Linked DNA regions of Rhinolophus ferrumequinum. The protein of the gene in region 2 purifies or fractionates together with the protein of the main gene of each other region. This does not show direct contact. Links are inferred from orthologs where the notes say so. Each region holds a gene or a part of one and is shown on either strand. Other genes may lie near its edges.

Region 1 (10,144 bases), on a different chromosome or scaffold from region 2:
GGGTGTGTTCTGAAAGTCCAGACAAGAACCATGCTCTTAACTGACAGCTGATGAGCAGATCCCAAGCTGGGTGCAGATTACACACCCGAGAACTGGCTGAGGTCTTGCTCCCAGGCCGGCTGGCAGCTAACAGACCACCTTGCTTTGGCCTCAGAAGCAGGTTCTCCTGCTGAGATTGCACACCTGCCCAATGCTGACAGCTGGGCCATGGAGGAGCCCAAACTTGGTGTCCACGCTTGAGGCAGGCCAGAGGGGAAGTTCCTCCTGCAGAGACGTGGTGACAGCCTGCTGGCTTGAATCAATCCTTTGTTTTCAGACTTGCGTTTTATCTCAGCTAAAATTTCAAGTCCTGATGAAAAATCCACCACTATTTCCAATGGCTAGCTTGTCTTTAAATAATGCTTTAAAAACCTGAGCACAACTGTTGTGTGCACACTACCAAGAGTTTACTTGTTTCCTGTATCCTTACTGGTGGTGATCTGTATATCATTCCACTCAGATCCTCAAAAGTGAAAAAGCAGCTGTTTGAGATACAACACAGGATAAAACCAGCAACACCGTAGGAGCAAAATGCAAAGAAAGCATGAAAGTGTTCACCTCCATTTTAGGTAAACTTTAAAAAATTCAGAGGAGGAAACACATAAAAGAAGTGGTAGATGACGCATAAAAGAAGGGTAAAGGGGATCAAATATATGGTGATGGAAGGAGAACTGACTCTGGGTGGTGAACACACAATGGGATTTATAGATGAGGTATACAGAATTGTACACCTGAAATCTATGTTACTTTACTAACAATTGTCACCCCAATAAACTTTAATTAAAAAAAAAGTACTTTCTTACCCTTTTGCAAGTAAATATAGAAAAAGTGAAGAAGAGACATAAAGCCTAGGGAATCCGCTAACCATTGCCGTCTTTCTCTCACTTTCTTTTATGCCACTTTCACTCTATTTAGGAAATTCAAGGAAAGCTTCCATATCAGATGAACACACTAGTATGCAAAAACAACACTGCCTGAGTAGACTATCAAACAGTAAATATAAAATGGAGTTGTAAATGGAACACACTGGGGCCATAACTTGAGATGACTTTAAAGATAAAACTAAAACATTTTTTTTGTCACTTAAAAGCCCTTATGGATCATCTTAATGAATGTTTGGACTACCCTATAAATACTGTAAACAGCAAGACAACTGTCAAAGTCCCATGGACCAAATGTTTCCCAACAGAATCAATGCTCAAATTCTCTGAAGTCTCAATTAACAATTATAGTACCATGAATCCAAGTATCTTTTCACAGCAAATCCATTCATTAAAAACCATTATCAAGCAACATTTTGCCTGTTGGGTGGCTAACAATGTTTCCTTCTATCCAGAAAATCAAGATTTTACATGAAAAGAAACTCAAGCACAGGAAATGCATAAATTCATTGACTATATCTTTGAGGGTTGAAATTGGCTTAGCAAAAGCAACCTAAACTGTATACCAAAGCCACAAGATCAATAATCTGGGAATTTCGAAATCTTCTGGGCAACCAACTTGACAGCGAAACTATACGATCAGCCTCATTTTAACTTGTAATCCCCCAGTCGCCTTCTTGGACCCCTCAATCCTGAGAGCCACGCTGCCCACTATCTTCCTGGGCTATCCCCATGCACTTCATTAATGTGTAAAGAAAACACGAATACTTGGCTGGGCAAGAAAAACTCAGCCTCCCTCCAGCTGTTAGGCAGATTCTTCTCCCTGTTGAAAACACAACTTAGGGAGACTAATGTCTCTCTCAAGTATTATATTTTCCGACTACACTAAGCTTATTCCTCAAAACAACTATTAAAAAACAAACATAAAACCACAGCATTCAGCGTGGGCACACAATCAGAAACCACTTTACATTGTACTTGTCTCATCTTCTTGAAGACTCAGAAAGCTGCCTGAAGGGTCTCATGTGTCATTAGCAGTGCACGTCTGATCCGCACCTGACCTTCTCCTTGTATTCTGAATATTCATAGACTCCTAGAAAGTTATAATCTAAGAGGACCTTTAGAGATGATCTAGTCTGAGCTCCACTTGAAATGAACTGGATGAGACTCGTTAACCTCTTACAGCCCAGTCAGTCAGGCAGATATGGGTTCAAATCCTGCCTCTGGCACATTCTGGTAATGCAGACTGTTTTCTTATCTGAAAAACAGAGATAATACCTACCTCATAAAACTTTGGGATGATTAAATGAAATAATATTTTTTTTTAATTTAGACTTTCCTTTTTTCTTTTGTCCCTTTTAAGATAATTTTTTGGCCGATTTTCTTTCTGGTTTATATTACATTAAATTGCAAGTCCAAGAGATGGGGCTTTTCTCCTACTGTATTTCCTAATCTTATGATTCGTAGCCCAGTACACAGCATCTTTTGAGAGAACCATAGACCAACTATGTGAAAGAATACATTAAACCTCTATCGCCACTACCTATTTCGGCAAATGTATTGTACTTTAGTTCCCCGAAGAACCCAACCATTTAGGTTTACATCTTTCCCAAACTGTGCCTTCTCAAAACAAATACCTCTTTCTAACTCCCTGCTCTCTCTTCTTACACACATACATCCTTCTGTTTAAAACTAAGAGCTGAAAAAAACCACTGCCTCTCCCAAATGTTTGAAATAAAATTAGCATTTTTACCAGGATAGTAATGCAAACTGTGATAGGTGGAGAGACAGGATTTGGAAGGATTCAAAACTTCTGGCAAACTTTCTTAGGATGTGTGGCATCAAGTCCTTAAATGAGAATTGTTATAACAATTATGGCAGAAAGTAAACCAGAAATTCACTGGTCAATTCTCAGTGAAGCTAAATACTGCACTTCACTCCATTCTTTGGCAAACAGTGACTAACAGGATTAACCCCAGTCTAATATTGGGTTAAATATCCTTCAACAAGAAACAGGTTCCATTAGCGGTGTCGGTCCCTTGGTAGTCAATTTATATTTAATATATATTTAATATATATTTATATATTAAATTTTGCTTTTGAAACACATTTGACTAAAAAAAATTTGCTCCATATGCCAGGGCAATAGTGTCATTTCTTTCCTTAGCAGGGGGGCAGCAACAAAAGGACCCACGGGGGAAAACAGGATAAAATCCCAGTCCCCGGAAGAGGACACAGATTTCCACCAAAGTAAGGTTGGTTCTTTCAAGGAATGTTTTCCATAACACCTAAAACGGTTTAACACATAATCGTCATCTTGTACCACTTACACAAATACCATTTAAGCAACTCTGGTGGCCTGGAAAAGGACCACAGAAATCCTTCCTGGCCTCAGCTGTCCCCTCCTGCGGGGCTTGACAGCGTGTCCAAGGCACCCAAACACCAGCCACCAGGCTCCCCCCAGCGCCCTCCTCTCGCAGCAAGCTGCTAAGGCTCTAGGGCCAAACTCCAATGTTGCTGGATTCAAAACCGCGAAAATGTGAACCCTGCAAAGCAAACGGTAGAGCGCGTAATAACTTCTCATTCTTCTTCTTTTCGCGGATTGGAGATGCTTGCGTCTAACTCTAAACCAACTATCCAGGTCCACAGCCCGCTTCTCGCAATCTACCTCCAGGGGAAGGCAAGAGGGTGTACGGACCAAAGAGAGGGCTGGTGAGTTCTACATTCTCAGCGAATTTCCTAGTGCGAGAAATGTAGTACACAGCAGCCCCATAATGATTAGATGCAGATATAAAGGAAGGAGAATGCTCTTCTCCCCACCGCTGCTAAAAGGAATAATAAAAACATGCAGCGGGCGTTTAGCTGGAAATGCCGGGCCCTCCTCTGGGCTGAAGAGGCCCGCAAAGCAGGCGTCTGGAGTCTGAAGAAAGTTGCCCGTCAAAGTGGAGGCCAGAACATGAGTGTACAGACTCGGTCCCAAAGGGGCCGAGGGGAAAGAGATGGGGTCCAACCAGCCCCGCGCGCGGCCAGCTGCAGCTGCCAGAGAGAGGTGTGGGCACCGAGGCCCGTGGAGCACCCGCCGAAACTGTACTTACATAACGCTTCAACTTTTTCTCCGGGGGGGACTTGCGAAGCCATCCCGAGCAGACCACTTCGCCGCCGCTCATGGTGCGCGCCTCTCGGGCTCCGGCCCGGGCAGCAGAGGGGCGGGCGGGCGCGATCCCGATACAGTCGACGCCTGCCGGTAGCGCAGACGCTGGGACCTCGCTCTCCGGTCGCGCAGCTCGGGCCGACGGAGCGGGCGGGCTACTAGGAGTGCCGGCTCTCCGCGTCCGAGGCTCTCTCTCGCAGATCCGCGAACTTGAACAGAAACGGGCTGCGCCGCGGAGGCCGACACCTCGGAGCAGGGGCAGTCCCCGGACCGAGGGCGCCCCGGCCTCCCTTCACGGCGTCCGCCTTCCAGCCAGGCGCCCCGTCCCGCGGCCTCCTCAGCAGCGATCGGGATCCGTGGGACTCTGCCCCGGCCCGGAGCAGGAGCCTCGGTCCCCTGCGCTCCGCCCCCTAGGGACAGGACCTCCCCAGAGTGCTTTCCGAAAGACACTATGCTGCACGCGCACACACACACTCACACACACAATGCCCCGCGCAGCGTCCACTCCAGCTTGCCCGCTCTCGGTTTCGGTGCGCCCGGGACAATCCTCCCCTTCGCCCTCGTCGGAGGATGGCGGGTCACTGCCCCGCACGCCCGGGAAGCGGGGAGGAAAGGGAAAACTGCGAGGGTCCGGTGGGCAGTGGGCGCAGGGTAGGTCCTGAGTCGGCCGCCAAGCGCTGGGCAGCGCAGGGCGGCAGGCGCTAGGGACCCAGCAGGTTTCGCCGGAGGGTGGGTTCACGCTCGCGGCCGCCGAAGAGGGCGGGGAGCGGGGAGGAACCAGGCGCTCGGCTTCTCGGCTCTGGGGATGGATCCCACTGTCCCGTCCCCTTGCGCTCCTTCGGCGCCGCCTCCCCCACCCGGGGCCAGCGGCAGATTCTGAGCCGCCCGGCCCACGGCCCCGATCCCTCCCGCTCCCGACTCCCTCTTCCTCCCTTTTCTCCTCCCCTTCCCACGTTGGGGCCGGCTCCGGTTTCTGCCCAGACTTTCTCTGAAACTCCGCCCGAGGGCTTCCAGCCAAAACAACAAGGGCCAGGGGGGAGGGGAAAAAAGGAGGAGGGAGCGAGAGAGGGAGGGAACGGGAGTCCGAGAGGCACCCTGGGATCTGTAGTTCTGGAAGCTGGAGCGGGGTCCTCCGCCTCCCAGTGGCGGTGGCGGCCGGAGCCCCCAGCCCGCTCTGTGCTGGGGACGGGAGGAGTAGCCTCGGCAAGGCCATCGCTGTTGAGACTTGGGCGCGGGGAGAGTGAGGAACGTTCGAGTGTTTACCATCTTGGCTCACCCGGGTGTCAGTTCGGAGTTTGTACTACTGCATGAGATCTGGAGTTCGGGAAGTTTTCTCTATTTGACAGCCTGCAAAGTAAAAGAGCCGGTAGGGCGACCGCAGAGCCTTGGGGAGGCAGCGACCCCGCCGATTCCTGCCTGGGAAACCGAAGGGCCGAGGGCGGAGGGCGCGTGGGAGCGCGCCATAGATACCTGCCTGAAGGGGAGGACAGAAGGACCCACCCGGGCTAGCGTGGTCTGGTCCCCCGAGCAGCCCTGCCAGAGTGGTGGGATCTCTTAGAGGGGCCAAAGGATTCGATTGAGTCAATCTCTGGGACACTGTAAAGCCTCACACTCCCTCCATTTGTTGCCAGTTTTTTCCACTTGACTTTGTATTTGTTTAAAGTCTCCCTTTGGGATGTTGGACGAGAAAAGGGCAAGTTACTGGATGTCCTAGTTCTATTTGCCTACTTGTGTGTGTTTTACAATTATGATACCTGGTCCTGAGATTAACATGATCCTGTAATAGAAATATCTTTTCCAACTTATTTATGAAAAACTAAGCCCCAACACAAATTTTAGAAGGTAACATAAATAATCAGATAAAAATACTAAAATATTAGGAGATAAGTGAACATTTCTGGAAACAACCTCAGGCGTTTTCTTATTTACACACGTTCATATTCAGGACTTCCTCTGAGTTTGAAAATGTAAAATTATAGTAGGAAATTAAGTGCTGGGGTGGCGATATACACAAGTTCCTACACTCATGGAGGTGACACTCCCGTGGTGGCATAGGAGAGTAAAAAAGTGAAAGGTCTATGGAGTACAGATTGTGATAAATGTTGTGCCGTGAGGGAAATAAACCCGATAAGGTGAAAGAACAATGGGATGGAACTAGGTTAGATAGGATAAGAGATAAGTATTCCTTGAGGAGGCATTTAGCCCGATATTTGAAAGACGTTGTAAAGAGAGAACTAGACTCGTTTTGTGGAAGAATAAAAGGCATAACCGTAAGGAGGACTGAGAGAGAAAGAACAAGCAAGATGTTTGTTGTAAGGGTTTTTTAAGAACACAAGTGAGTAATTTTTATGGCAGCTAATGAACCAAAATAATTTCTTTTTACGTACCGTGTTTCCCGGAAAATAAGACCTAGCTGGACAATCAGCTCTAATGTATCTTTTGGAGCAAAAATTAATATAAGATCTGGTCTTATTTTACTATAAGACTGGGTCTGCTAGGTCTTATTTTCAGGGAAATGGTATGTGAACACAAATTTTGCCACAGGCCAAAATAAATCATCGAATTTGTTTTCACTTCTCCCATAGGCAGTGTGTCTACACCAAGTCAAAAGCATTTATAATTAACTTTGGTAAGACGGGTCCACCCTTGCTTAGTTAACTGTTGGCTTTTATTTACCACTGTCTCCACTCCTGTTCTAAAGTTGTTTTGAAAGAAAAATCGTAATGTATCTTGTACTATTTAGCTTTTGGAAGCTCCAATAATTAAATATATATATATATATATATATATATATATATATATTTCAAAGAAGGGATTCAGTTATCTCATTTCTATATAAGAAATCTTTAAATATTTTTCCATATCATTGACTCTGATTTAGATGAGAATTTCTAGAGACCAAATAAGGGTTGAGGAGAGGTTGACAATAGATACGTCTCCATGTATGTATTTTAGACAAGACAGTTGCATTATTTTACATCATATGCCATTTTTCGATTATCTGTTACCTTTTATATCTAAAAGATATGCTGGAAAAAGCTATTATACATAAGTATTTTAAATTTCATTCCTACAACAAACATTTATGGAATATCCTAGTATGTATAAGTCCCTGAGGACCACAGATACGATAGGGAGGAAAGCCAGACATGTTCCCGTAGTCCTCTATCCTGGAAAAAAAAGGTTTTAAGATAATTAACCCCATAACTTCTATAATACAATTAATAAATGTTATGAAAGAAAAAAAAATAGAGTGTGTTATTTGGGTGTATAACCGGGTCTACCCTCCATGGAAGGAGAGTGAGCAGGTTAGGAAAGACTTCCTTTGGAAAAGACTTTAAACTGAGGTTCTCAGGATGAGTACAAGTTGGCCTGGCCACGTTGTGGAGAAGAGTGTTCTAGACAAAAGAGAAACTACTAGGTTACAAGTCAGGCTGGAGGGAGCTCCTGAGTACCTAAAAGACAGCAGCAGTGGGGCGAGTGAGAGGGGACACTGGGTGAGAGGGTGAGGTTCCAGAGGCAGGCAAGGGAAGGATTGTGCAGACCCCTGGAGATCTCAGAGTTTGGACTTTTCCTTAGAGCAAATGACCACGTCATTTCCTGTGACCTTCAAATCACCTCCAACAATTGCCTCTATGGGCTTTATTATTCACCTCCAGCATCCCACTTTAACCAGATATCTTCAACTTGATCTTTCAAGTTTTTCCAATATAATCTTTCTTCTCAACAGCTTTTGCAGCCTGTTGATACCTCTGCTTTCTCATGATCCATCAGACCTCTCCTTTCTTCACCCCTTATCCAGTTTAAATTTTATGGTCCATATTTTTAATAACATACACCAAACTCACAAAACCCCAACTCTGAATGAACCCCAGTCTGCTTTCTCCTGCATCAAGTGATGCTGGAGCAAGTTACGCATGAGTGACACCACTAAAAAATTCACATTTAATGACCTCCAATAGCTCCTCAGCTATCAGCACAGGCAGATCTTGGTCTTCTGGGACCTGAAGCTTATACGGTTTGGGAAGTTCTTTTAAAGGAAAAGAATATACAATTACAAATATAAAATTAGGATGAAAGTGTATTTAGAATGAGAAAATAAATAACAAATGATTGGAGCCTAGGACTACAGATGCATTTCTTTTGAGATCTCTGTGATGATTTACCAGAATCCTCCCATGGATATGTTTCCTGAGTGCATCCTGGCTTCCCCTCCCAAGCAGCACACTGCACCTTTCCCATCAGCTCCCTATTCTCCTGGGGGCCTGTGCAATGAGTGGCTCCGAGCTGAAGATTCATTAGCTTCATGGATGTCTCTGCTAGTCAGCAATCCTACTTCATTTATTTGGACAGTACACTCACTAGTCTACCCTCTGAAATAACTTTTCTTTTTAAATAACAGCTTTATTGAGGTATAATTCATAGGCCATAAAATTCACATTTTTTCAAGTGTACAATTCAATGGTTTTTAGTATGTTCATAAAATTCTTCAACCACACCACTAATTTCAGAATATTTCATTGCCCCAAATAAAAACTCCATTCTCATTCCCCCTTCCCTCTCAGCCCCTGAGAACCACTAATCTTTCTGCTTCTATGGATTTGCCTCTTTTGAACATTTCACATAAGTGGCAACATACAATTTGTGACATTTTGTGACTAGCTTCTTTCAGTTAGCATAAGTTTTAAAGGTTTGTGCAGGTTGTAGCATGTATCAGTACTTCATTTTCTATTGTTAAACAATATTCGATTGTATGGATACAACACATTTTATTTACCCATTTATCAGTTGATGGGCATTTGGCTTGTTTCTAATTTTTGGCTATAATGAATAATGCTTACAATAACTCTTAAACTTTCTTCAGATTTCTCAAATTTTCAAACCCTCTACTTTTCCCATCAACTGACTATCTTTCTTATAGCTTCCCCAGAAAACCAAAGTGCTCAAATGGAAACTCCTTTGACTTCTAGCCATCAAACATCAAACATGCAAACCTACATACTATCTTCACTCCTCTTACTCTTCCGCTTCCTATGGCAAATAAGGACATTGCTTTTCGCCTGTGAAAGGCCAATCTCTCCACTTATACTTTGAATTTCATCCCATTGCACTGTCTCAAGAACCTCACCCTGTAAATGATCTTTTTATATCTAAATACTCCATTCTCAATGTAATTCTTTCCATCACTATGTGCATGTGTGTGTTCAAATAAAACTTTATTTACAAAAACAAGTGGCAAGACAGATTTGGCCAAGGGCCATAGTTTGCCAATTTTTGCTTTATACCACCATGATATGATTGGGTGTGCATACACACAGACTCATACATACACACACACAAACACATGTTTTTTAAAATGGAAGTGTACTATAATGCCCTTTAAAGTAGCTATTGTGAGAGAGAATCTTATGTGAAGTTGCTGATAACATGTAGTTGCAGATTATTTAACTCTTCCCTAATATTAGCATTATCCTGCATAAACAATTGAAAAATTAAAATGAAAGTTGGTTCCACTGTATTTGACAAAATTATTGTAGGCAATAATAGATTACAGTTCTCTAAAACTGAGTTAAATTATACATTTTCAACATACATTTCTTCTGTCAAAGTATCATTTTAAACATACCTCTTTTCTGTTAAAACAAAACAATGTGAAAAAACGTCTACATCTTATATTCCTTTTTAGCTACCAGCTTTTCTCTCTTCTTTCACAGCCAGATTTCTATTAAGTGTTGCTATAGTTTCTGTTCCTAGTTCTCATCTTCCTTCACTCCTCAGACTGCTTCTTTCTGGCTATCATCCCAATTTCTCTTATACTTGAAAAGGTCACTCTGACCCCCACATCACTAAATCAAACAATAATTTTCAGTCTTTATATTTCTCAGTCACTCCTTCCTAAAACTCTCAGTACCCTTGATCTTAGAGATATTGCAGTTTTGAACCTTCCTGTTTCCTTGCTCCATCTTAGATTTCTTTGCAGGCTCTTCTTTTACTGGCCCTTGGCATTCTGAAATCTAGCCCGCCTCTCTTCTCATTCTCTACTTTTTCATGTATGGTGGTATCTGTGTGTTTA
Region 2 (10,395 bases):
GGAACTTAGCTTTCATTACAACCCGTGATTCTCTTTATCACATTATATAATTGCTTTGACCACATTTCATAATAATCCTTTATTATATTTGGAGAAATACATTTTCAAATCCTATGGACCATTATATAATTTATATGGCTCATAAGCTCTTATATAATTTCTATAGGCCTTTTAGCTACATAATTTATTACAGAAATTAAAAACAACAGGAGTATCCTCCATAAACATATTTGCACAAATTCACACAATCACAGAAGAAATATGTATACCTGGGTATGTAATTAGCAAGTTAACTTTTTAAAAAATTTTCACTGTGTTTACACCTCCTGCTACAAATGCCACACACATGATTTTTCTCTCAATTATGTTTTACAGCTTATAAAAACACTTTTTTATTTTGTCCCTTAAAAAGCAAAGTAGTCAGATTTTACTGGATGTTTTTATTGAAACAAATCCCAAGGGGAATATACTCTGTTAAACAGAGCTGAAGAGAGATCTGAGAATGGGATTTCTGATAGAAGGGGAGATCACAAAATTACTCACAACTCTTAATCTGATAATAGGAGAATGCCCCACACATATGAACGGAGCCTTTCTTGGTATGCTTTACTACAAAAAGAGAACACAAGGAAAAGAGAACTGTAGAAAGAGAAGGTGAGAAAAACCTCAGAGCCTGGAAATGTATATTCATCATTTATTACTAACCTAAAGACGCCAACCTATTTCTCAGTGGAAATGGCTTCAAATAGTTAACCTTCCCTGATGTCTGGGCAGAGGCTGTGGGTGCTGTTGAGACAGCATGGGGACCAGGCTCAAGCACACACTTGTGTCGTCTGTCACATGTGAGGTTAAGATATTGCCTATCTGGTAAGGCTGTTGTGGCATCTGAAAGATGACATACTCAAAAGCAGCTTGAAAATTTTAAGAGGTCTTTAAGTTTCAATCTTTTGATTGAAAAAAATTCTACTATTTAATAGCAAATGGGGTGATTTCTAACGATGACATTCTCGTGGGACATCCCCTTAATAACTATGGTTCTTGTTTCCTTTTTATATGTGTATTATTTATCTGTATATCTAGACCGTAAATGCCTCCAGGGCAGCATTTCTTCCTCTTTAAAAATGTCTCCCTAATACCAAAAACATATGATACTTATGTGCAGTTCTTATTGGTGAGGGAAATGTGGGCCTTGCTGCAACTCAGTGTCTGTTAAATCAAAGTGATGCTGAATTGACACGAGTCAGTATACACATCATTTATTACTAAGAGGTGACTGTTTATTTTGCATTGAAAAAATTCTGTCCTGAAGGCTCAGAGTCAAAGACAACAGTTTCAACATACACCAGGGAGGTGCACTCCCTGGCACTTGAATTTCTGCATATTTTTTCCCCTGAAGGTAGCACCGTTAGAAAACTTGGGGTCCCATGAACAAAGACAGAAACCCAAGGAAAATATTAGGGATGACGGGGAAAAGAAAGCATAGATGGTTCTGGTGAGAGTCATTAGGTGTAATGACAGTGAAGAGGAAACCATGAGAACTGAGTGGACAAATGGGGGCACAAAAGGTTTTGGAAGGAGCTCTGACCAAACCAAGGGGAAAGGCTGAGCAGGAAGCGGGTGGGGAGATGGGAGGTGCTCAGCATGTGTAGGGAGCTGGGTACTCGTCATGGCGCGTCACCAGAGGCGCTGCTGCATCCTCTTAGAGAAAGGTGCGTGTCCTGAGAAAATTCACTGTAGTCTGCGATGACCACATTTGAGAAAAAGTTTATTTGAGGTTATTATACAGATTTGTTAAAGGAAAATTAGACTAATGCTATTTTGGACTTTTTTGTTTTACTAACAGCTAAGAAAATTGATTTCTGAAATGTGTCTCTTAGTCTAATCCTCACTAAAACAAACCAAAAAAAATCAAGATTATTAGTGGAACACATGCTTATATAGTCTTAAAATGAATTTGTAAGATAAAGGTATTTTTTCCTGCTTAGGAAAGTGTCACTTTTCTTTTATTGTAGATTTAAAAGTCATGAAAATACTAGTTACGAGCTTTCATATGGGCTGTGGCTAATATTGTACATCTTTATCATTCAGATAAATCTCATCCACTAATTCTGAAGGCATGGGGTGTACATCTAATGTAAAGCCCTATTGTGATGTATCAAGAACAAAGCAATCTTTGAAAAAGCTGTAGTCAGCAGACCATCTTCTATATGCCATAAATTCCATTATGTTAAAATAAAAATGTATTTAGGTTAATAACTGTAGTCTTATGCACTGATAAGTGTGAAACCTGAACAGATTTTTAAAAACACCAGTATATTTTGTAGGCAATCAGACACATTTTTGTACTACAGAAATTCCTTATAAGTGATGTAAATTTTACCTGTGTTATTCAGCAGTTCAGAAAGAGTGAACACTGAATACACCACAGAATTAACTGGAACCAAAGCACCTCACTTTTGTTCCATTACGGAAGTTTACATGTTAAAACAAAGTCTAATAAGCTTAGAGCTAGACAGTAAAGAAACCTATGTACCTGTAAATAATCCAGGCACCACTTACACTTTACATAAAAGCACAATTTATGCCCCAGTAGCACAGAGAAACACAATGTACATCATTCTCAGATCATCTTCATGCAGAAAAAAATCATTAGTCAGCTATAATAGTTTAGCTGTAAAGGAGAATAATGTTTTTCTGAATCCATTTGCATGGCAATATACATGTGTCTGGCTGATGGAAACAAGAGAATAAACCTCCATCCAACTCTACAAAATGTGAACAGTCTTCTTAAAATTCAGGAGACGGTCCAGATAGTCTACACTCTCTCCAATGTCCGTTTTTACAATCCTCCTATATTCGTCGACCATCTTAACTTGGCAATTAAAGTATGCTGATTATTTTGCCTAAGAGAGTTGACAATATTTCATTCTACCCCAGGGCTCCTTTGAACATAAAACTGTGATAAGAAAAAATACATTGGGCAACTATTCATGCATGAACCACTGGAACCCTCTTCAACTGCCAAATCTGTAAATGGCTCTTTTAAAACATGAAAGGTATGAAATGGGAAACCGTACTCTGGAGTAAATTCTGCATTGGCAATAGTCAGTAAGATTACTTTCATTAGTGCTTTTATGATTGGGTCAGTAACAGTACTGGCCAGACTACCGACCTCTGGTTATAACCTATTTCGCCTAATAAGATATATGCCCTCCCCAGAGCTCCAGCAAAGAGCTAAGGTACAATTGAAAATGATGGATCACAAGTCCTGTGTATTTGCCAGACATGAACAATTCAGACCTTCACAGAAACACCTGTCCCTTGGAAGGACTCCCACTAATACAGATAAAGCAGGGCTGGGGATAAGGAAACCTCTGGCTTTCAACCTTGCCAGCTGCATCACCGTGGGACAGGGTGACCAGGTCCCTCTCTTAAGGGATGAGTCAGATTGCAGTCTTGAAACTGGCCTGGCCATAAACAGTCATATATCACCCCCTCCCCAGCGCTCCTCTCTCCTGAGTCATACAGGTGGCCGGCAGAAGCGACCCCCTAAAACGAATAGCCCCATTCCAGTTTCGACCTCCCCCAGACCACATCCCTTGAGTTTCTGGAGCCTCTGAACTCTCGCCTACCTCTCTGGTCTCGTCTTCCGCACGCAACAGCAGTCAGGTCTCTTACGGGAACAAAGAGAGCAGAAGCGCGAGGGGTGGAGTGCGGGATCGGAAGAGGGTGTAGTTTACCTTGCGGGGCCCGGGAACCCGCGGCCGAGAAGTCCGTGGCCAGGGACCACCCGCGCACTCCGTGCCTCCCCGCCGCCTCCTCGCAGCGAGTCAGCTGTCGTCCCGCATCTGGCTCGCGCCCTCCGCTGGGCTCCGCATCTGGTCACAAAGCGCTCGGCCAGAGCCTCGGGTCACCTGCGGCCCGGCCCGCGAGCGGCGCTCCCGGCGGCGCTCCCTCCGCCTCTTCCCACCCGCGCCCGACCGTCCGTGACTCAGCCGGGAATGGGCGCGCGCACCGCCCGCGGAGGCCCGGGCACGTCCAGGCGGGAGGCACGGCCCTGCCACCCGACCCAGGCGCTCGGCCTCCCGCCCGCCCCAGCACGTGTCCGTCTGTCTGGCGCTCTGTCCGTCCGCCTAGTCCGCGGGTTCAAAGACCGCTGAGGTGAGGACTGGCACCACCCACAGGGGGAAATCGCCCCCGCCCTTCCTGCCGCCGCGCGCCGCGCCTGGCCCCACGGGGGTCGCGTTTCCTCCCAGCCCTCCCCCGCCCACGACAAGGTGAAACTTTCTAGGTGGAGAAGTTTTCTCGCCCTGGCCGCGCTCTCCTCCCCCAGCGCGGGCAGTTAGAAGTTCGCACAGCGGCAGATAAGCGGCACCGCGTCTCCCCCTCCTGGTGCTCGCGGGGCGAGCGTCGCCCGCGCGCACGGACCCCCGCGCCCACACTCCGCGCCACCCGCGGGAAGCGCGCGAGGCTCTGCCCGTCCCGCGTCCCGGTTAACCACCGGGCACTGACCCGGGTAGGGAAAGGTTTGGGCACCACGGAAACAAGGAATTCATTGTCAGAGACGGAGGTCAGAGTGGAGAGAAGAATTGTCCCAATGATCTCATTAGGCAGCGATTATCCCCTACTATAATAACTCGGATTTCTGGAAGGAAGAACAATGCAGGAGTGTAACCCCGAGGAAACCTCAGTTTCTTTAAGGTTTTTTTCTTTCTTTTTTCTTTTTTTTTCCCCCACAGCAGGAAACAGGCTGATTAAATAACTAGGCAAACATCAATGAACAAGCAAAACAGAACAAAAGTTTAATTCTTGAGTGTTGAAATCTTATGATTAAAAAAAGATTTGAGGGCTTGGTGAGTTGTGTTAGTATCAATTGTTTTAGGATAACTTTTTATATCTCACATGTCTTAATGTAAAAATTGACATTACCCTTCAAAAGAAAATAAATACTCAAAGTTAAAGAGACCTGAGCAGCAGTGTCCTCCTTTCTGACTCCTACAGGCTTGTTGGGATAATGGCATCGGTTAGTTATTGAAGTCATGGGACAATTTACAACTTACTATGCAGGTTCAGGAATTATTTACCTACAGAATGAAAAATAGAAAAATATAGTAAGAACAGTTAGCGTTTTCCTGAGAGCTTATGATGTGCCCCTTTACCAGGGACTGCACACTGCAGTTTCAATCCTAAAAAGTGATTACCTCATGATTCCTTAATTTTATGGAAAAGGGATGTTCCCGTTACATAACAGTAGAGCCCTGCATTGAAACATTTTGCAAATGAGGAAACTGATTGCCTAAGAGTCCTAACAGGGTCACACAGCTGGTTAGTATGAGAAGACAGGTTAGAACCCAGCCCTCAATTCCAGTCAAGGGTTCTTCATACTGCAAGAGGCCTCAGCCTGGCAGGGCTAAATAAACAATGCAGTCCTACCCAACATTTGCTGATATCACATGGCATAATTTAACAATGACTATGGTTTATATCAAAATGCTGATTTAGTGACTGGAGGACATTGAGTCTGGTATGGACAAATCAATTATAGATTTGGGGTTCAGTATGAACTTTCAATAAAAGGTGAATAAACTGACGAATTATTTCAGACACACACACACACACACACACACACACACACACACACGAATAATTAGCCATAGTTGTCCAAAGGAATGATTAGAGTGCTGTTTCTATTTCCTGGTTTCCATAGCAATATGTTAACTGGATTTTAGATTGTATTATGTAGTTGCCTTAACAGGTTTTCTGAGTTTGTCTGCCATGATAAAAATATAAAAGAAAAAAATTACAACTAAAGTGGTAGAAAGACCTAGACAAACCATTGCAAACTGGAAAATAAAATAGATTATAAACTCAAATAACATATATTTTCAGCACTGAAGTTTCCTAGTTTCTAGTTATTGACAAGTTTCAATCCAGTTTTGAAACGGTATAAAAATCGTCATTTTGATTTATTAACCATAAATAAGGAGATAACATTTTATAAAAATAACTAAGAAGAGCATAACTAAGAATCTCTCTGTGTGTGAAAAATCGAATAATTAAGTTTAAACAACACCTAGATAGGTTTGATCAGGAAAGGGGTAAAAGTAATTTCAAATATTTGGAAATGGATACAAGCAGATCTTTTAAAAAGGCAACAGGAGTTCTACCATTCAGTTTTGGTTTTGTGGCAAACTTCAATTGTTGCTGTTTCACTTTTCATGATACAGTGTGTCCATGACATGGGTGACACACTGTATGATGAAGTTCTGTTGGCATTTCCCTAACCAAACCAAACCCCTGTGGTTGGCTAAGCCAACACCTGTTCCCAAACCAGATACTCCCTTGCCTGTCTCCACTTCTGGAGCTGGAAAACAGAAAGCTGACTTTCCCAGACTCCTTTGTAGCCAAACAAGGCCACGTGATGTCATTCTGGCAGTGAGGTTAAGCTGAGATCTGTCGAGCACATCTATGAAAGAGTGTGGTGTCCTGATGAAAAGGACCTAATACGCTGCTGCCAGCCCTTCTCACTTCTTGCTTTCTTGATTTCATATGTAACGTCCAGCAGAGAGCTAGCAATTTTGTGAATGAGGAGAGAAGTTGGGTCTGACATTGCTGAGCTACAGCGCCAGTACTTCCAGATTTCTTGCTTTGTGGAAAAATACTTGTTCGAGACACTGTTAGCTGGGGTTTCTGTCACCTGTGTCCAAAAAACATTTAAAATTGATATACCCCTCAAATGGGGAGCAAGATATCTCCAAGACTGAGTTTAGCATTGTAGCTAAGAATGTGGGTTTTAGAGCCAGACAGCCTGGATTGAAATCCCAGTTCTGAGGTTGCTAGCTGTGTAACTACAGGCCAGTGGCATCAGCTCTCTGTGCCTTATCTATAAAATGGGAATAATAATAGGATGACTGTGAGGATGAAATGAGGAGCTACGAGGAAAGCATGTGGAAGGAGCCCTGGTAAAATATAAGGGCTCGAAAGGCATGAGCTATCCTTATCCACATACTTGTGGATAACATACTGTGTTTCCCTGAAAATAAGACTGTCGTGCAGGGCGGCCTGCAGGGTCTCAGCTCCGGCTCCCCACATAAGAACGCAGCATATGGTAAAGCCAAAAAGGAACATCCACGGAGCCATAGGTAGGGGAGTCAGACCACTATGGTCTCACTGGAGGCTGGATTCACACGATGTGCGACCTGCTGTCCACTTTTCTGCCAACCGACCGACTCCACTAGACTCACCAACCAGTGTAGCTGCGGCAGTTATATCAGCAGCCAATTGGCTCAAGGGTTACAGCTGACGGCCAACTAGCCAGAGCTGACGGCCATCTACTACCCGAGCCAGCACCCCTCCACGTGAGGCCGAGAGCTTGGAAACTGCTCTCTGGGGCTCTGTCCCCACAAAGACCTAACCAGAAAATAAGCCTTAGCATGATTTTTCAGGATGACATCCCCTGAACATAAGCCCTAATGTGTCTTTTGGAGCAAGAATTACTATAAGACCCGGTCTTATTTTCAGGGAAACACAGTAGTGCCAAACTATCCACAGGATCCCACCTCTTCACCCTACGATGGACCCAGTGGTAGCCATGGTCAGTAGAGAGGAACAGCAGTGTCTTGCCGCATCCTTTCTGCTCTCCCTTCATCACATGGAAATTTGCATCTTAGAAGGTACTCTTTCTTTAAGTTCATTCACATGGTGCTGTTTTTGAAACAAAAGTGAAAGCTGTCTTAGAACAGGGGCTTAACCTGGCAACCTGTGGAAGGCAGGGCCACAGAAACACACGGGCCCACAGTGTTTTTTAAAAGCTGGAATCACTGTGGCCAGAACCTGTGTTCTGCAGTTTGCTGTTGTCCTACCATCTTCTCTTGTAATGCATCCAGCATCCCAATGATCTTGATGTCACCTTATCCTACAGGACTTGTAAGCATTAGGATTTGTGACACCTGTCTTAGAGTATTTATTCTTGGATTCTCTCTCTCTGTTCTTCCCTCTCCCCAACTCTCCCCGTTACCCCTATTACTCTGCTTATGGAAAATGTCGCCACAAAAGGACAAGAAGAGTAATTCAGGTGATGGTTCCTCAAGTAATTTCTGTGGGCAAATACATTTTGGGGATGTAGGAATCTTTTTACCTTTTAGAGATACATTATCTGCATCAGAATATTGAAGATTCTGAAAATACACAGGGAAAAACAGAACAACAACAACAAAAGACACGCTTTTTTTTTCCGTCTTAACAGTTTCAGTAGCAATTTTCCTTAAAATTAGTTTAATAGGTAACATACTTTGGGAAACCTCGCCTTAAAGAATGGAAATGCCAGCCATAAAGGGTTAGAACAGGGCAATTTCCATATGAACTGCTTTTATGTTGATTTATATTGGTCATTTGGTTGTGGCTGGGTTATCTAAAAATAAAATATGCAACATTAAGTTATCTAAAAATATGACTAAGCTTATTTGATATCTTGGACAAGTAAAAGACGGCTATGCTCTTGAAGCTACAAGTGTCCCAATTTTACTCAGGAAGCCTAGGAAACTGGATGCAGGAAAATTAAAAATAAATTACCATCTCCAACAGGGTGCAGCGATTTTGTTAGTGATTTGGTTCATTTTCACATTCAGCTTATACCTCTCTTATAAAACACACGGTATAATGAAGGTATAATGTATTTAGCTCCCATTTATTAAATGTCTACCATGGATCAGTCATGTGTTTGAATCCTACTTATGTCCTCATAACAAACTCCAGGAAGGTATCATGCTCTAGTTTACATCCAGGGAAAGGAGGCTCAGAGAGATCATGTGATTCATCCAAGGTCACAACAGCTGGCCTCAGTCTGGCTCTTTCCAAAACTCCGCTTCCCTTGGCAACTGTTTACTAACTGGTCCTCCTGCTCTGGTGAGCCGTGCAGTCATTTAACAGAGACCAGTAGCACTTAAGCCTTCTTGTTTTCCCTTCTTCTCTGCCACTTAAGGCATGGCACCTCTGTTTGTTTGCCTTGGGGACTGGTTGTTGCAGTGCAGAATAAACCTTTGTTGCCCATCTGTAAAGCACTGTGCATTTTGGAACACGGGTCCCAAGCAGTCTGAGTGTCCTGGGGGTGGGCTGTAGGTGAGTATGACCACAACGTCCCCCACGTGGAAAGGAACTGGAATGTTCTTTCCCCATTGTCTGTGTTTTCACAACCCCTGAGCTCTTCATTGGGACTTAGGGAAGGTGAGAGAGAAAGGGAAGGCCCAGGTAATGAAGCCTGGAGTCGTTAAGAGACGGTCTTTTGGAGTCTCTGAAATAAAGGCAACAACGTCCAGAAAGGCTGCCCTCGTAATTCTCCTATCAATACTTCATGAAGCCATGTTCATTTCTTTTCCTTTTGTTTTCTGTTCTTGTCTTTTCCTTTTCTGTCTTTTACCTTGTGGTAAATTGTAAAAGCATTTTGGGAAAGAAAATGGGAAAAATCTTTCATTTTTATACAACATAGTATAGCATTATTTCCCAACTAGTATATCCATTCCATCTGTTCATTTAAACTGTTTGGCACTAATACAAGTGGATTAGCCTATCTGGGAAATAATGCACTAACAAAAATAAACGTGTCCTTCATTGAACAGCGTTTCTTTATGATTAACCCTTTAAAAACGAGTGTGTGTGTGTGTGTGTGTGTGTGTAATTACTGCAATCCTAAATTTTACCACTAACTTAATCAGTGCTTTGGCACTTAACCCCCGTGGATCAGTTTCTTCAGCTATAAAAACAGTTCCAAAGTCTGATGAAAATGATTTAAAAAATTAAGTATCAACTAAAATTTTACTGAAACCAGTCCTTTCGAAGCAAATACATCAAACAATTTACTAATTGTATTGTATATAAGGAGACATTGTATTAGAAAGAAAGTACTCCCGGGTGTGGTTCTTATTACTATTGCCTTATCCAAATAGGATAAAATTCTTTTTTCTATTCCAATCATTGATTCGTTTAATAATCAACTTAGGGATAGTATACTTGGTGAGTCCAAAAGTAAATTAGGCAATTTAGAAATGGCTACAATATTTCACAGTTAAAGAGGTAATATATGGGTCTTAGTGGCATTGAAAAAATGATGGAATGAAAGGTGTGATTAGAATCACTGTAACTATTACACATGGCTAATGTGTACTGAAGTATAATAAAGGTGGTTCCAACGCCTTTGCACTGGCCAGATTTTGACCTTTTGTTTAACAACCTCAGAGTCTAAACATAATTACTATTAATGTGGATTCAAAACACACAGAAGAAATGGCAATCACTCTGGATTAACCTTGGTTTGCCAATGAAAAAAATGTTTAAGTGGCACATGAAAAAAATAGCACAGCCAAATTGTGACCAGTCAGGGGTCATGCTCAGAGAGTCACT
Region 3 (10,097 bases), on a different chromosome or scaffold from region 2:
GTCCTTCAATCTAGTTGTGGAAGATGCAGCTCAGCTCCAAGTCCAGTCACCATTTTCAATCTTTAGTTGCAGGGGGCGCAGCCCACCATCCCATGTGGGAATTGAACCTGCAACCTTGTTGTTGAGAGTTCGCACTCTAACCAACTGAGCTATCTGGCCGCCCCTCTGGGAGCTCAGCAGCAGCTCGTTGTCTTCAATCTAGTTGTGGAGGGCGCAGCTCACTGGCCCATGCGGGAATCGAACCAGCAACCCTATTGTTCAGAGCCCGCGCTCTAACCAACTGAGCCATCCGGCCGCCCTAAGTTTGGACTTTTTAATGGAAGTTAAGTCGTTTCAGAACAGCCCCACGGTCTTGAAACCTGACTTATGCCCAGCCTTTCTCAGCCACGAGTTGATCTGCCTGCTGTGCCCCACAGATCTCCCGATGACGGGGTGCAGCCCTGTGTTCGCCATGCAGCACGTCACGGGTGTGCCCCCTGTGCTGGTGCGGAGAGGCCTCCTTGGAAGGGACCATTCTATGACCAGGACTCTCTGCAGCCCGAGCCCCAGCCAGCCGAGAGAGAAAGGCCCTGAGGAGGTGGCCCTTGGGCCATACCGCCGCCTCACAGTGCTGGGAAGAGCCCTGGGCCGTGGCATTCAGCAGCGAGCGTCCTCCACAGCCAAGACTTGGTGGGACAGATATGAAGAGTTTGTCGGACTCAATGAGGTTCGAGAGGCCCAGGGAAACGTGACTGAGGTGAGGAGGGGAGCCTGAGTGGTGGGCCCTGCCCTCTGACGGGAAATACAGCCTGGAGGCTCCTGCCAAGCAGGTCACCAGCCACGTGGCTGAGAAGCTACCCTGATTTGTCTTTTCTTGAACAAATACAATTAGGAGGGGGATTTGACTGTTGCTCACATGACATCCTCCTGGGGTGAAGATCTCTGTGTAACTGTGCCTCCACCCACCCCGAAAACAAGTTGCTGTGTACCAGTGAGTCCCTAGATGTTAGCATCTGTTCTGTCAGGCCAGCAAACACTTCCTTCATTGATGGTTTGGGGGTTGCTGTGTAATTAAAACACCCCTGGTGAAGGCAGAGGCCCTGGGAAATGTCATTCTGTGAGGTTGAAAGAGCTGCCTGTGTTTGTTAAGTCATTTGTGGCAGTGGAAATGCATTCTGCCACCTCTGTTGCCACTCCTGCCGCCTGGGCCAGTGTTGTGAGGTGGGAAGAACCCGGGCTTCAACTGGAAGTTTGGAGGCACAGTGCTGTCTCTCCCCTTGGAGGTCATGACCTTGGTTGAGAGGGGTTCCTGGATCTGCAAAATGGAGGCTGTTGTGAGGTGTAAATTAGGTAACACACGGAAACATCTTTCATAGGTTCCTTCCTGGTGTTTGTGTCAGACTAGAGTTGGCTGGGCTTGGTGGACAAAGACTGTGCATTCCTAGCTGTTTTTGAGGTTCTCAGGGGCATGTTTTTTCAACCTGAATGGATAAATCCGGTGATTCTGATGGGCGTGGCCCAGGGCTGCACTCAGGAGCCCTGGGTGAGCCAGGATTATGTGTCCGAGGGACTGTCTTTCCTCCCTTTGCACCGACACCCCACTGCCCTGTTCTCAGCCACAGCCTCAGAGTGGAGCCCGTGTGGGTATGGAGAGAAGGGGCAGTGGCCTCCGTTGTTCTCTCCACAGGCGGAGAAAGTGTTCATGGTGGCTCGGGGGCTCGTGCGTGAGGCTCAGGAGGACTTGCAAAGGCAGCAGGCCAAGCTGAAGGAGGTGAGGGACCGCTTGGACCGCATCTCCAGAGAGGACAGCCAGTATCTGGAACTGGCTACCCTGGAGCACAGGATGCTGCAGGTAGGTGCCTTGGCAGGCAGCCCTCCGTCACCTGGACAGGGACCCTAGCCTGGCAGGTCGTGGAGGGGCGGGGCGGAAACCCTGACTGTCTGGTGTTCGGAGACCTGGGGAGGAGGTAAACCGGAAGCCCCTATGTAAGGACTGGGCCCCAGGCTTCCAGAGCCCATCCACCCACTTCCTCCTGCCTGGAGGACTGGGGTCCACGGTCCAAGGCAGTATAATTTGGGCCCCAGATTGCTGAGGAGAGAGCACCATGGAGGGGGTGGCCCCAAGAGTGCCAGACACTTCCTGAGATTGCTCAGGTAGAAGCTTAGTGCCGCTCATCTCGACCACCCGATAACCGTCTGCTCGTCCCACCCAGCCAGATTTGTGCCGCCTTCATTCATTAGCATGTAATGTGTGCCCAGCGTGGGGCTGAGCCCCAGGGACACGGTAGTGGGACATCTGCTGGCAGCTGAAGCTGCAGGGTCATACTGCTGCTGTCTCATACCGCTTCGTTTCCGCAGGAGGAGAAGAGGCTTCGCACGGCCTATGTGCGTGCTGAAGACTCTGAGCGAGAGAAGTTCTCCCTCTTCTCTGCGGCCGTGCGGGCAAGTCACGAGAAGGAGCGCACTCGGGCAGAGAGAACCAAGAACTGGTCCCTCATTGGGTCAGTCCTGGGCGCCCTGATTGGTGTGGCTGGTTCCACCTACGTGAACCGTGTGCGGCTACAGGAGCTGAAGACCTTGCTCCTGGAGGCACAGAAGGGGCCTGTGAGCCTCCAGGAGGCCATCCGAGAACAGGCATCCAGCTACTCCCTCCAGCAGAGGGACCTCCATGACCTCATGGCGGACCTACGGGGCCTGGTGCAAGCCGGGCCAGGGCAGAGCTCTGAGTCCCAGGCAGGTACTTCCCCGGCCCGAGACAGAGACACAGATGTCCTTTCAGCTGCCTTGAAAGAGCAGCTCAGCCATTCCAGGCAGGTCCGTTCCTGTCTAGAGGGTTTACGAGAGCAGCTTGACGGCCTGGAAAAGACTTTCAGCCAAGCAGCTGGGGTGGTTCAGCTTGCAAAGGCTGTGGCACATCCAGGCCTGGTGGACCCAGCAGATGGGGCGCTGCCTGGCTCCTTGCTGGAGCAGGAGGGCGTGATCTTGGCGCTGTCGGACATGGAGCAGAGGCTAGAAGCCCAGGTCAACAGGAACACCATCTACAGCACGCTGGTCACCTGTGTGACAATTGCAGCCACCATGCCTGTGCTCTACATGCTTTTTAGGGCCAGCTAGCACCTGGACCCTCCTCCAGAGGGCCTGAGGGATGGGTGTGGATGCGGATTTAGTTAGAGAATCCCAGCAGTGAAGTGAGCCTTTGGGGTACACACAACCTCAGCCGGAGTCTGAGTACCATCTCTGTGGCTCACTAGCAGGCACACTTGGCTTTTTAGGCAATGCTCATTTACAGTAATTATGAAAATTTTGTGCTAGTGTCCAATTAAAATGTCTTTGAATTTGTATTATTTAAAGTAATTTATATCGGACTGAGTTTTGTCTGTTGAAAATTGAGATTTGGGACGTGAGGGTTGGGCCTGGTATTACCGTAATCACCCCATTTAGTTCCTCTCTCATCTCCATTGGTCTTGTCCTTGGTGCAGGACCATTTTGGATACACTTACCCTTGAGGCCTGGATTTTCATTTTGGATTTTCTGGCCTGCCGTCCGCTTGCCCAACCCTCCTGTGTCAGGTGGCCTGGGCGTTCCCGTGAGTGGAACCTAGCCTGCTTCCCACTCATTGGTGACCATGGTTACTGCCCCTCTTCTGGATCACTTTCTCTGCCATGGTGGGAAGAACCTCCTGGATCTAATGCTGGAGCAATGATCAGGGGAGAGCAGGGAAGAGGGGCTGGGGGAAGGGTTGATAAATATTGCTGGGGACATAATTACCGGGATTGGTGGCCAATCTGGGTCCCTGGTGCAGAGAGCTTTGGGCAGTACTAGTGTGCCACTAGAGCTGGGTATCCTCCCACACACAGCCCAGGGATGGCAGAGCTCAGCCCATCAGCAGTGTGAACGGAGAGGCAGTGATGGGGAGAGGCCTCCCAGAGGTGGGAGGTGCAGTGGGGGGCATGGAGGCAGACTGCCCTGAGAACCACTGACCTCTGCCTTTGCAGAGGGAAAGGGCAAACTTTGACCTCCCCGGCTAAATGGCCACCGTGGCCTTGTGTATCCTTGAGTAAACAGGAGCAGTGGGGAGGCACTCTGTACTCCCACCGGCGTGTTGGAGGACCTGTGGGCCTCGAGAACCTTTCAGAGAACCAAGTTGCTACACAGGGTCTGCAGGTAGGGACTTCTGCAGGCTGGCTCAGCAGAGGCCTTCGGAGCCAGAAGTGTTTCCCATGAGGTGCCCTCCCTTTTTGGAGCCTGTGCTCAGGCCTGGGCAGTGAGCATGGCCCAAGTGGCCCCATATGTGCTATGAACCTCTGAGCACCTGGTCCCTTGGTCATTGGGTCACTTCATCCTTGGCACTGTTTTCTTTGTAATGGTTCGCCAGGATGGCACGGGATGACATGACCTCTGCACTTGGGACACTCCCCTTCCAATGGGGTGGAGATGCCATATCAGATGAGGGGCACCATGGGATTTGGAAGTCCCAGGTCCCCCTCTGGATGATGTAGGTCCTAAAGGGTGTGCACTTGAGTGAATGGATTTAGGGAGGGGAGGATTCCAGCCACGTGGAAAGGGCTCCCCACAAGCATCACAGGCAGGAAAGCCTGTGAGCCACTTGGGCCGACTGACCTGGCTGAGATGGTGATGGGTACAGGAGTGGAGTGTAAGACCTGGGGTGCCAGATTGGCAGGACCTGAGGTCTACCGTCAGAGGCCAGGGATGAGGGAACTGGGGAGAGGGTGCCATGCTGGTGCAGACCAGGTACTGAGTGCCTGGCCCCAGGTGCTGGAAGGGGTGGAGGAAAGGGAGTGACCTGCGGAGTTGAGGAGGGAGAATTAGGAAGGCAGCATGAGGTAGATGAGAGGGAAGGCAGACTCTTGATGGAGGGGGGAGGTGGGAAGAGGGTGCCTGTGTATTAGCTTTTTGTACAGTAGCAAGTATGGATGACCTGAACTTTGTGGGTGAGACCCCTCCCAGTCTGGGGAGGCTCTGGGATCTTCCAGGGTGATGTGTATGTGACAAATTTTTTCTCCCAGGGAGCCATCCCAGTGGCCTTAAGCCAAAGTCCTCCAAAAGTCCTAATAGGATGGGCCAGGTCTTGGCTCCAGAGTTTGCAACCGGCAGGCCAAGGTGAGAAGGGCCCAGCAGGGGGCACAAACGGGCCTCTGGAGAGAACCCTTGGGCTCAGCGGTTCCTCCCTCCTAATGCCCAGGTATTCGTCAGTGAGGGAGTCTGGACTTGCCCAAGCTTCTCTCTTTGGGGTGGATCCAGGTACAGGCCTGGGAGAAACGAAGGAAATGCGCCCTTGCTTGTGCACTTTTACAGCCGATGAGCCCTCCTGTAACAGCCAGGCTAGGTGTGGTATCACCTCCACTTGCCGGTGAGCAAACAGGCTTGTGGATATAGTCGGGGGCGGGGGTCAGGTTACTTGGCTTAGTGATGGCGCAAACCCAGGCCCAACCCCAAAAGCTGCGCTCTTCCCGCACAGCCAGAGGTGGGGGCCGGAAGGAGGGGTTGGCTGTTTGGGAGTCCAGGGAGTAGGGGCAGTGGGCAGGACCCGGGGCAGTGGGAGAAACAAGGCGCCTAGGTAAAGAAAGTTGGAGGAGGCTGACTACGGGAGCCAGGTATGGAAAGAGGAAGCTCGGGGCACTGCAGGGCAGACGTGGTGCCCAGCTAACAGGCGGGGCAGGTGAGGGGCGTGGGTCCCACCCGGCGCTGGCGGGCAGGAATAGGACCGCGCGCTGTACCACCACACCTGGGGGTGCGGAACGCGACCCTCATCCCCGCCCCTCCAGTCCTGGAAGTGCTCCCAATTCCAGTTCCAGCGCAGCACAGGTAAAGCCCGGCAGGGACGGGGCGGGGTGGGGCTGCCGCGCTCCACTACTCTCCCCGCCACCGCCCGCTGCGATCCGCGTTGCCATGGCTACCGCCCGGGTGCCTGCCCCCCACAGGGGAGGGGTCAAGTCCCCCGCCCTCTGCAAATTCAGAGCCGGCTGGGTTGGAATGCGGGGTCCCGGGCGGCTCGGGGCGCGCGCCCGGCTCTCCCGGCTGCTTCCGGCCTGGCCTGGGCGGCGGGCGGGGGGAGGGCGGCCCGGCGGGCGCGGGGGGAAGGAGCGGAGCGGGCCCGGACGACGCGGCTTTGTCTCCTTTGTTCCGGGCGGTGGCAGCGCCGCGGCGGGAGGGGCGGGCAGCGGGCGCAGTTTTCCGCCCCTCGGTCTCCGGGTAACAGCTGCGGCTCCGTCAGACCCACCTCCGGGGGGGGGGGCCGGGCAGCGAAGTCGCCGCGCGCAGATTCCCGAGCCCGGAGCGGCTGGCGCCCGCCTCGGCGCACTAGTCCCGCGGGGCCCAGCCGGGTGGTGAGTGCGGGGACCCGGGCCGGGGCGGTGGGGACCCGGCACGGCGGCGCACCCCGGGGTGAAGGGCCCGAGGCTTCGATCCCGCGGGGCAGGGATAGCCCGGGTGAGTAGTGGGCGGCTTCGGTCCTAAGAGTTGGGACCACACTTCTTCGCGCGAAGGGAAACTCTGGCGGCTCCGCCTGTAACGCGATTGGGAGACAGAGGAGGTGGAGCTGCTCCTCCGCGCCCCCTCCTCGCCGCCGCCTCAGCTGGAACCGGCCGGCCCCTTCCCCGCCCTCCCAGGACCACTGGTGGGGTCCTTGCCCCGCGGTCCGAAGAAGAGGGAGGAGGGTCGGGGAGAGCCGATGGGAAGCCGAGGCTTCCCCTCTTGTAGTAGCAGCCCTACCAGGCTGCGCTCAAGGCGGACTGTGAGCCTCCTGCCACGCACCCCCAGAGGGGGACCCCCCCTTCTCGGTACACTGACGGTCCTTGAGTCCTCGCGGGTGCAGGGTAAATGGTGGATCCTCCCACCCCACGTCAACACACAGACAACAGGGCGAGCAGTGTGCGCTCCAGCACGGTCAATGAGTAACTCTTCTGGCTGGACCCTGGGAGCCCAGCAGGATCGCCGAAAGGAAAGGCCAGTTTCTCACTGATCCCTGGGACTCGGGACTCGCGACACGGAAATGACGGCTGCTTATGATGTGGAAGGGCAGAGTCTGTGAGCCCCTTTGGTTGGTGAGGACAGCCTCCCGAGGGCCCAGGTGGTGCTGGCTCTTTGCAGACAGAAGTTAGGCCGCCTTGGGCCCTGCTGAAGAGATCCACAGAAAGGTGGGCCAGAAGAGACCTCAGCACAGGCCTGGGCACAGGCAGAGAGGCTGTGGCTGTGAGTGTGGACGGGGCCTGAGATCTGCCGAGTGAGCAGGAGATCCTAGCTGTGCAAGTTGGGCACGTGAGGCCTGGCTCCAAACCATCCTTTTCAGTCTTCTCTGGCCCGATCATTAACAAAAGTGGGGCTCACACCTTGTCCTCGGAGAGACCAAGTAGCTTAGAAAACCCCGTATCTCCCCTATTGGCTAGGTTTCCTTGGCTATGAAAAGGGGGTTCTTTCAAAATACCAGGAGCACCTGCTCTGTGTTAACCTGTTCTGAGTTGCTGGGGCCTCTGGATCAAAAGCCACATGCCCTGCCTTCAAGCAACTTCAAGTCCAGAGTGGAAGGGTGGAACGGGCAAAAGTGCCCTTGGTTGGTGCCACTAATGCCAGGCACACACCGTATCATGTTTAGCGGTCAGAGCACGCAGTACTGCCTTCTGTTCTGCAAATGGGGACTCTGAGGCTCACAGAGCCCAAGGCAGAGCTGCAGTGAACTCAGCACCCACCGGATGGGCTCCGCAGCAGCCCAGAAGGCTCCCTGGGACATGATGGCGGGGAGTCAAGTTAATGGGACAGACAGGGAGTGGGCATTCCAGGCAGTGGGAAGAGCCTGTAGTTCAGGCCGGCAGGAATGAGGAGCACGTGTGGGGGATGGATGGGGCATGGATTGGATGGAAGAGGGTGGGCATTGGAGAGGTTTGACCTTTGTCACAGGCTCTAGGGTGCCCCAAAGACTCGGGGGAGGGATGTGCTTGGATTCCCGTGAAGTGGGAGGGCCTGGGGGCTGCTCTGTGGCCTGTGGCAGAGGTTAAATGAAATAGGAGTGCCCAAAAGGGAGGAGAAATTGTCACTATCTTTCTTTTCCTCCTCCCCTACTGGAGGTATGTGGGGAAGGGCAAGGGGTGCCAGGCCGTGTTCAGAGATAGAAGAAGCCTGCCATTTTTCCCAGGGTGGGTCAGCCTCCAGTCTCCTCTGGCCTGGCCAGGAGTTGTTCTGATCCCGCCCATCTTCCTGTGGGCCACCCAGTTGTGATTTTACATTTGGGAGTGTCTTGGTTGCTTCCCCTTGAGGGGTAGAGAACCTTGGCACATAGTAGGCTCTGAGCAAATGTTTGCAAATGAATAAAGGAGTGAGTGTTGGTCCAAGTATGGGCCGTCTGCCCCAGGCGCATCCCTGAGCAGGAGGTGGCCTCTGCCAGTCCCCAGGCAGACCCTGCCTTCCAAGAGGAGGAAACTTTCTTCTCTCACCCCTGGAAACAAGGTGGGGGGCTCCTGGGAAGCCTGGCTTTGCCACAGTCCTGGGCTTCTCGCCGGGTTCACAACTCTCCTTGCCGCCCCCTTCCCCACCCCCTTGGGCGGTGAACAGAGGCGGCCTTGTTCTTGCTCCCATAGAGCTGTCCTGTTCTCTGCACACTAAAAATGGAAACCCCCAAGCTATTTCGGGAGCAGTGCCCAGCCGAGCTGTGGCCACGGCTCCCCTGCTCCCGCCGGGCTGCTGGCCTCTTCTCCGATCCTTGTGCCTTGCGCCTAGCTCCGCTCACTCTGGGGCAGCCCCAGGGACGCCCCGTGGGGTCCTGGGCTGGGAGGAGCTGACCTGGGCTGAGGGAAGCTCTCCTACAGGCAGACCGGCAGCTGGATGGATGGCGGGAGGGGCTGGGAAACGTGGCCTGGGCACAGGCTAGTAAGGGAAGTGTTTCCCGGCCTGTAATGTATAGCCTGTCTGAGCACTTCACCAACCCCTGGTGCTCCTGGCTGGGGACCACCCGGGGCTGGGGAAGATGGTGTTGTCATGGTTTCTTGGTTCCAGCAGGCCTTAGCTGGGGCCTACAAGGAGGAGTCTGTTAAGAGAGCAGGCACCCAAGTTCTGGGCGCTCAGCTGGGCATGATGGTGACTTCTTTTAGGACGGCGCCCCCCCCCCTCGCCCCCCCACAGGGCCCTGGCTCTGTTCTGACCTTCAGGGGAGGAAATAGCAAGAGATGGCCTGGCTTCCACAGCCCTCTAGGACAGGGCTTGAACCAGGGAAGTGTGCGTGGATCTATATGTGTGGGTGTCTGAATATGGTGGTGATGTGTATGTCTTTGGTAGGTGGGTGTGACATGTGCCTGTGCAAAGTGCATGTTTGTGTGATTTGTGTGTTTTTGTGTCTAAGGAGGTTGTCGCTATGTGGATGTGTCTTTGTGCAGATGTGTAAGCATCGTGTGTCTCTCTGTGTTTCTGTGTCCAGATTGTATCTGCACACCTGTGTGTATGTAAGCACCCATGTGCTTGTGTGTGGGTGTGTGCACGCAGGCGGAGTGATGCCTATGCTTTGTGTGTGCGAGCATGTGTCTGCTTATGTGCTAGTGGCAGTTTGGGCTAGGACAGCCCCTGGCCTGTATGGAGAGGATGTACCTGCGTGCCTTGATAGAGTGGACTCTGGACAGAGGGTGAGAATGGGAGAGTGCCAAGAAGGGAGAAGAAGGGGCTGCAGGGGGACATGGCCATGTTGGGGGCCTGAAGGGGCCCTGCCAGCCGTCGGGCTCCTTCCTAGCTGCCCTTTCCCAGGCCCTGCGGGTGCCTGGTTCTGCTGCCCTCCCCCTCCCTGTGTGGGCTCTGAGGAGGCGTCCCATGTGGAATGTGTTTGGTGGCCAAGGGCCAGGCTGGGCCCAGTTCCACCGGCAGGCTGGCCAGGGGGAAGGGGGTACCTCTGTGCGGCTTCCACATGCCTGCAGCCCAGCCGCCAGCTTCATGCTCTGCTTTCTCCTTGGCTAGGTGACTCACACAGGTCATGCAGTTGTCTCCTGACCCAGCCGGCCCTGCCAGGTGAGCCTGACTTCACACCGAGGCATCTGGGAGAAGTGTGACCTTCATCTTTCCTGGGGGCTCTCCAGGATGGGGTCCAGGCTTTCAGTCCCCATCCCTGGCGGCCTTAACCTCCC

The links.
Region 1: the proteins of MET (region 2) and GAB1 purify together in Homo sapiens (affinity purification with western blotting; 3 studies listed by BioGRID and IntAct, with this or other methods). This does not show direct contact. The link is inferred for Rhinolophus ferrumequinum from reciprocal best matches to the Homo sapiens genes MET and GAB1.
Region 3: the proteins of MET (region 2) and PLXNB1 purify together in Homo sapiens (co-immunoprecipitation; 3 studies listed by IntAct). This does not show direct contact. The link is inferred for Rhinolophus ferrumequinum from reciprocal best matches to the Homo sapiens genes MET and PLXNB1.

What each region holds. Positions count from the first base shown.
Region 1 is NC_046301.1:17,749,366-17,759,509, reverse strand, and holds the start of GAB1 (GRB2-associated-binding protein 1), read right to left. Parts: upstream 4,905-10,144; 5' UTR 4,088-4,904; coding exon 4,016-4,087; intron 1-4,015. UniProt on the Homo sapiens protein: Adapter protein that plays a role in intracellular signaling cascades triggered by activated receptor-type kinases. Plays a role in FGFR1 signaling. Probably involved in signaling by the epidermal growth factor receptor (EGFR) and the insulin receptor (INSR).
Region 2 is NC_046309.1:26,253,568-26,263,962, forward strand, and holds the start of MET (hepatocyte growth factor receptor), read right to left. Parts: upstream 4,056-10,395; 5' UTR 3,633-4,055; intron 1-3,632. UniProt on the Homo sapiens protein: Receptor tyrosine kinase that transduces signals from the extracellular matrix into the cytoplasm by binding to hepatocyte growth factor/HGF ligand. Regulates many physiological processes including proliferation, scattering, morphogenesis and survival.
Region 3 is NC_046300.1:7,652,504-7,662,600, forward strand, and holds the start of PLXNB1 (plexin-B1), read left to right. Parts: upstream 1-5,221; 5' UTR 5,222-5,350; intron 5,351-5,492; exon of another isoform or gene 5,493-5,594; intron 5,595-5,760; exon of another isoform or gene 5,761-5,805; intron 5,806-6,086; exon of another isoform or gene 6,087-6,326; intron 6,327-9,930; 5' UTR 9,931-9,981; intron 9,982-10,097. Other genes in the region: CCDC51 (mitochondrial potassium channel), read left to right, coding at 317-736, 1,667-1,831, 2,338-3,093. UniProt on the Homo sapiens protein: Receptor for SEMA4D. Plays a role in GABAergic synapse development. Mediates SEMA4A- and SEMA4D-dependent inhibitory synapse development. Plays a role in RHOA activation and subsequent changes of the actin cytoskeleton.